Lytechinus pictus: one gene and its partner. The protein of the gene in region 1 interacts with the protein of each later gene in a biochemical or structural test. Links are inferred from orthologs where the notes say so. Each region holds a gene or a part of one and is shown on either strand. Other genes may lie near its edges.

Region 1 (3,759 bases):
TCTAAGAAGGATGTTAGCATAGTCACAGATTTGAACATAGGGATTCGTACGATGATTTCAAACATTACGCAGTAAGATATTCCAAGTCTCAATATAAGCATCAAATTCTACTACGTTTTATTCCAAAATTGAGTCGCAGACCAATCGCAAGGTGTGCGGTGGCCTTAACATAAAAAAATATGTCTGATATTTATAGTTGATAAACTTGTTTCTATGCAGTCAAAGAAACGATCATATATTTTAGCTAGAAAAAGAAGTTGCATGGAATGTTGGACTTGCATACTAAAAATATTGTGCGAGACTATAACAATTTTTTTTTTTTTGGGGGGGGCAATATGGGCATTTTGTCCAGGTTCAGAATACAGGCCTATGGGTAATTCCACCTGAATGTAACAAATTAACAAGTGAAGATCAATGCAGATGTGACCAGTTTTGATTTTTTCAAATGTGAGGAAGGTTTCCGATATAAGAATTGAATATAAACACTTACTTCATCTGGCTGTATGGCTAGTTTGAAAACAAGTAAATCATCAGGATCAGGGAAATCTATCTGACATGTCTTTGGTAGATTCAGCTCCCCAAGATCTGAGCATGACAGAGAAAAAAAAAACAAATAAGAAATATTACACCAACTTCACATTCTGTTTTTAAAACAAGATTATGTTCAAGCTTAATGAAAATAGTGGCCCGAATTTAAAAAGGTAGTTTAATCTAGTCTTGAGGACTCCATGATGATGTCTTTTTAAAATCCTTTGACATATACTTCTTCATCATTGGAGTCTTGAACCCCCGCCCATATATGTATATGAGACCCAGGTAAACAAAGATGGATTTCCCTAGGAAATCCATCTTTTCATAAAAGAATCACGTAAAATATGTTGATTTTATTCATTTCTACACCTTCCTACGCCTAATGCGAAGGAAGGTTTTAAAAAATGGTCCCTAAAAATGTAAAAAAAATGAAGGTTTCTTACCAGACTGATGTCGTGTAGATCCCTCGATCCACATGTACACAATGCAAATACAATAGCGTCGACCCTTGAACCGCTTATGTATGACGTACTTCCGATTAGCGAAGCCATTTTGAAGAACAATTTATAGATAAAAATTATCATTTCACAAATACTACAATTTAACACATGATTTATTTTTAATTAGCAGTATTGTTATTATTTATAATCACGTAATAAATTTTAGTATTTGTGAAATAATAATTTTTATCTATACATTGTTCTTCAAAACGGCATCGCTAGTCGGAAGTACGTCATCACGAAGCGATTCAAGGGTCAGGTCTATTGTCTTTGCTTTGTCGACAAATGGATCGAGGGATCTACGGGAGATCGGGTCTGGTAAGAAACGTCTCATTTTTACCATTTATAGTGAAATAATTTTTATCACTTTATATGCATTAGGCGCCTGAAGGTTCATAGATAAATACAATTCGACAATACAAACCGATCTCACCCTCTAACTGTGATTAATAATTTTGCAGGTAAGAAAGGTTCACCAATTCAATTGTTCTTAAAGTAGACCAAAAGCTTCGGTCTCTGTTATGTTGGTTGTTCAGCTGAACTCCGTTGGCTTCACTCACCAAATACAGAGACCGAAGTTCTAGCGCGATCTGTACAGGGGACTCAATGACCATATGTTTATGTGTATAAAGTTCGGATAAAACAGGGCAGTGAAGTTGCGCGACAGCCGAGGTAAGTCACTGTTTTTGTTCCTTTTAACTTGATTTTCCCCCTTTTTTGGCAATTAATGCCAAGAGGGAATATTAATTTGCATTTCGGTAGCGTTAATTTTCAAAAAATTGATTCATTAAAGACAAAAATTGAAGAGCCCCGACGGGGGGATTTTGCATTGTAAGTCCCCTGATGGTGGCTGCACGATAGCGAGCCGTCTGTGTATGAGGAGAAATTTAAAAAATAAAAAAATGTTAAAAAACTCCTCGAAACAGACGGCTGCCTGCTGTCTATTCTTAAACTTAAAGTTGCTCTTAACTTACATTTTACAAACAGCTTTAAGAAACTCTCACCTGGCCTTGGGCTGGATTTTTATTCTTTTTACTTTTAATTTTAGTTAAATATTTCCTCATTATTTTGAGAAATTTGACAATTTATTATACTTTATACTAGAGTAGACCCCTAATCAATAATAATGAACAGGTTTGTGAAATTCTGAATCATTGATTGACATGGCATTCCAATGTTATATCATATTCATAATCATCAATTTAGATTTACTTTATTTCAATTTCAGAAGGTATTTCTTTTTGACGGTTCAGTATGTCATAAAAACATTCAAGCGAAGACAGAACAGCAAAGCGATGGACATTCAATTCAGCTGATCACGCACTCATTTCATTTCATTCATTCAATTCGACATCACCTTTCTGCAGTCGCAGCTGTGCAGCGGACGCTCTCTTCCCGTCTCCGTCCGACCGATCTGCGGCAGCTTCGGCCTGCTTTTTCAAGGAAAACAATTTAATCATCGTGCATTCCAGTAACACTTTCTCGTTGGCATCAACTCCTTCTTTTAAAAATTCAAGGTCTCTATCTGCTCCAATCTGCTATTCGTGAAAAAACATTGTCCGATTTCGCAGTCATCACCTTAGTTCCGCCTATTGTGTATCATGTATTGTGCAAGCTGCACGGAAGAAAATGTGTGTGCGTTTACAAAGGTCAAAGTTCACTATAAGCACAGTGCGCGCAAATACAACCCGCATCGGGATGACCTTAGATGACCTCAGGGCGGGGTTGCCGAATATTTGGGTTATTCTCTTTTTACCTTTTATAGCTGACTGTGGCAGTCCTATAGCTCTCGATTAGTACGACAATACACCAGACGGTGGACTGCACTGTTTCCAGAAGAAGAAGAAGATTAATCCGACGTCCGAGCTGCATGCATGGCCAATGCATGCAGCGTTTAACATTAATTTTTGTCTGACAATATAATCATGATAATTGTCAGATCTGACAAATTCCTTGATTTTGATTGGCTGAGAACAGGACTTGTCGGATAAAACATCAGACAAGTCCTTTAATGAAACGTATATCACTGCGACTGACTTCTGTTTAGTGGGGTAATGAGCCAGATCCGTTTTTGTCAATTTTGTTAGGATACTTAATTGTTGCCCCCCAGTTAGAAATTACCATACAAAAAAAAACCAAGCCGAATTTTTTAATAGGCCTCTCCGATTTTGAGATTGAGGATGGTGGCTGAGCCGAAGTTGGGGGGGGGGGGGGTGGTGCATGGGGGACCGGGCATAAAACTCATAATCTTATTAATTGTCGCTGCCCCTCCCTTACAAAAAATTCCTGCAGTACTTTAGTGGTACTCTGTTGTACCTGTGTGATACTTCTGTCATACACGACGGTACCTCAGAATTACCACAGGACTTCTGTGGTATCACTCTGTGATAGTTCTGTCATACTTCTGTGGTACAGGAAAATATGAAAATTTCCTGCAATACCTTAATGGTACTCTGTCGTACCTGTGTGATACTTCTGTTGTACAAAACTGTATATAGAATTACAACAGGACTTCTGTGGTATCACTCTGTGATAGTTCTGTCATACTTCTGTGGTACAGGAAAATATGAAAATTTCATGCAATACCTTAATGGTACTCTGTCGTACCTGTGTGATACTGCTGTTGTACAAAACTGTATATAGAATTACAACAGGACTTCTGTGGTATCACTCTGTGATAGTTCTGTCATACTTCTGTGGTACATAAAAATATGAAAATTTCATGCAA
Region 2 (3,759 bases), on another chromosome or scaffold:
TCTTGTTATTGGAATTGAATACAGGTAGATTTAAAGAATGAAATGCACATTTTGATATTTATAAAGGTACATAACATTGCAATAATTTGCAATAAATTGCAACAGATTTCCTCTACACTCGCTCCTGACCTGCGTTGGAGCTTTTGCTTTTGTTTTGTTTGATTTTGATTAGAAATTGTAAGAGAAAAAGGAAAGAAAGAAAGAAAAAAAAATGATGGGGTGAATGAGTGAGAGATGAAGATATTTGGGAGGGGGTTGAAAGAAAAGAGAGAAAGTACATGCTTCTATGTACAATGTAGGGGGTATAGAACCTAAAGAAACAAATTTGCATAATAATAGGCAATATTTATTTTGGAAAAAAAGCTTTGTATCCTGATCAGCTATGGAGCAGCTGTATTTCTAGATTGAAGTTTATATTTAAGTAATCAAATGTCCACTAGTTAGATAGTATTGTGTAATTTATTGAGCTATATTTTATTATGTCTGGGCAGTGGCAATCTGTCAGAAAAAAAGACATGCTAGCCAGACTTAACTTTATGTACAATTTGAACCAGTGAACTATTGAATTACTGACCATTTTCATCTATACCTTCCGTTTAATGAGTGTAAATTGAAAAAAAATGTGGCACACATATTGTTTGTCACAAAGTGTTCTCTGTATTTGTACAGGTTTTTTAGCAGCTGTACTCTATCATAACACAACCGTAACTTGACCCCTTTTTATATCAAAGACAGACTCTCCATGCTGGTGATATGGTTCAAGTTCACTTCTGAACCAAAATAAAATGGGTAGTCTTTGTGATACATGTACATGTACATTGTAGGCTACATGTAGATTGTCTGTTATGATTTGTTCTTTATATTAATAATGATCTGGATATTATTAACATTTCTCAATCACTTTTTGACAGTTTTGTAACTCCACAATTTACAGTTTATCACTACTGAAATAATGGATCTTGGTCTGTCTTGCACACACAGAGAATATACAGGGTGTATTCACATTCTCTACTACCTGGGAGTACAGTATTCCAGCAATGCACCTGCTCATGCATAACAATATTCAATGGACGACTCATTAGGATGAATGAAACTGATTTAGAAAGTATTTGTGTGTTGGTGATATACATGCACATTTAGTTGGTTGGACGAGAGGTAGAGGGATGGTCATTTTGCTTGCCCATCGTGAGTGGCTCAAGAAGACTGGCTGAATTACTCCCCAGGGAATGAAGAATGTGCATACATTGTCAATTAGATTTTGTTTCTGGATGCTATACAATGTACAGTACACATTATTTGTATCATACTTGTATATTAATTTTCACTTTGTTGTACCTTTTTATTTTCCCAGATCTGTCCTGATGTTATTAATTTGAGGGACCTCTCCTCTATATGACCTTGTTTTGGTCCACACAACCCCAGTGCTCACCTATGGTCCCCAGGCTATCTTGCCCGGCGCCATCCACCAAGCCACCCTCATGGGCAAGTGTTTCTCCGTCTGCAACCCAGGTTCAACCAACGTGGAAGAGCAGAATGGCAAGAACAAAGCACAACTCCCTCCCAAGCCCCCTCATCATGCCACAGCTATAGAGCACCCTACTGCCCAACCAGTTCAGTACGTCCAACATATCAGCACAACCGGAGGCCGTGCAGGCAACCTCCCTCTCCGTCCTGCTGGGGACTCGAATAATGGTAGTCACAGCAGACCTGCGCATGACACGCACAAGCAGTTCCCCCGACAAAACGGTGTAGAGACAAACGCAGCCATGAAGTCAGACTTCTCTGAGCGAAAGGCAAACAAACTCTTTGAAAAATATAAAGATAATTCTGAGGATGCCATTTTGGCGGAAGGCACCGAAAGATTTTGTCAGGACCTTAAGGTCAGTCCAGAGGATTTTATAGTACTAGTCATTGCATGGAAGTTTCAGGCGGCAGTCATGTGCCGCTTCACGCGGACTGAATTCATCCAAGGTTGTCGCACCCTACGTGCTGACTCCATCAATGCTATCAAAGCCAAGTTTCCAGAACTGCGACACGAGGTCAAGACGAATGAAGCCATGTTCAAGGATCTTTATCGGTACACATTCGGCTTTGGCTTGGACACTGAAGGGGGCCAGAGAACTTTACCTTGTGAGATTGCAATACCTCTATGGAAGCTTGTCTTCTTCTACCGACAACCCCCTATCCTAGATCGCTGGTGCAATTTCCTGACTGCTAACCATGTTAAAGGTATATCAAGAGACACATGGCAGATGTTTCTGCACTTTGTAGAGGTCATTAAAGATAATCTCAGTAACTATGACGACAACGAAGCCTGGCCTAGCCTTTTTGATGACTTTGTGGAATATGAAAATGATAGATTGAAAACCGAAAATCAAGGTGGAAAGGAGGATGACGACCAAGAGGAAACTCATCTAGTGTAAAAAGAATATTAGGGATACCCATATTTTTAATTCATTTTCACTTGTTTTATTTGTGTCTTCTCCTTTTTCCTAATGCAAGGTGCTCCATTTGCTTCTTCATGGCCCTTTCAATTGCTGACATTAGTTTCAAAATAAGCAGTTACTTTTGTTTGACTGATATTCCAGTGACCAAGAATCTTACTCTCTTATTTTATTAGTATGATATTTTTGTGAACAAAGAAAAAAACTTGGGAGACTTCCATAATAACATGCACGGAAGAGTATAAAATGTAGATGTGCGTATTATGCAGCATCTTGTTGTAACGTATTTTTCTTAAAGCAGGAAATGTAATGACATGCAGGGATTATTCTTTACAAACCTTGGTCAAAACATGATCATATTTAAACGCATTTTTATCTTTGATACAGAAGATTAAGTTATCAGAATCCAAAGAATGCATTTGTACTTCTTGGTACTTGGATATATTTATTAATGGGTTTCCACATTATGTAGCCCTTAATTATTTGTAGAATGCATGTTTCAATGCTAAAATCCACATAAATATTCAGACTCAAAAACCTTCTATAACTTTGGAATGTTTTAAAATGTGTTTCATAAAATTACACCTACATGTACATGTATAAACTGCTCTTATGATTATCTGGAAGTTTAAGTGCCAAATTAGAGCCTAAACTTTGGCTGAAGTCTCATTAATTTTTTCATGTACTTCAAATGAAATTCCTGTGAATTTATTGCAAAATATACCGGTAGTCACAGAAACACGGCAAAATATAGTCATACACATGTACTGTAGACTTGGCATAAAAATATGTTTTCATAGGGAGAATGGTACTTATTCAAGAACTTTAATATAATGCAACTAAAAATGGTTGGTTGAAGAACAATCGCTTTCCATATCCCATCTGTTAATAAAGGCATTTGTAACTTTCTTTAATAAAAACAGCGTTATGATACACCCTTCCCCTTGAAGTATTGTAATGCACTTCAGAATTGTCAAACTTCATATTAATTTCTGGAAGATGTGATCACCCGACTCAAAGCCTACAATAAGTTTTTAAAAATAATTTTCATAAGTATCCCAATTAGAAGAGCACATTTTATGATTTAATTTGACAAAATTGATCGACCAAAGCCCATATAAATATTATGGATTTTAGATTTCTCATTCTTGACGCACAATCTTCTAATTGGGGGGAAAATATATATATATTTTTTTTGCATGAATAAGGAGGAGAACTCAGCATCTACATGTATGGAGGAAAGATTATGTGTCATATGAGGTTTCAGGGAGAGATTAAAAGAAGAAGAAAACTGTTTAATATTTAGAGCCCAACT

The links.
Region 2: the proteins of NEDD8-conjugating enzyme Ubc12-like (region 1) and DCN1-like protein 3 form a complex in vitro, tested with the Homo sapiens proteins (4 studies listed by BioGRID and IntAct). The link is inferred for Lytechinus pictus from reciprocal best matches to the Homo sapiens genes UBE2M and DCUN1D3.

Annotation. Positions count from the first base shown.
Region 1 is NC_087253.1:11,992,576-11,996,334, reverse strand, and holds the start of NEDD8-conjugating enzyme Ubc12-like, read right to left. Parts: upstream 2,696-3,759; 5' UTR 2,492-2,695; coding exon 2,389-2,491; intron 586-2,388; coding exon 491-585; intron 1-490.
Region 2 is NC_087254.1:25,577,611-25,581,369, reverse strand, and holds the start of DCN1-like protein 3, read left to right. Parts: upstream 1-1,355; 5' UTR 1,356-1,478; coding exon 1,479-2,423; 3' UTR 2,424-3,759. UniProt on the Homo sapiens protein: Contributes to the neddylation of all cullins by transferring NEDD8 from N-terminally acetylated NEDD8-conjugating E2s enzyme to different cullin C-terminal domain-RBX complexes and may play a role in the cell cycle progression by regulating the SCF ubiquitin E3 ligase complex, after UV damage.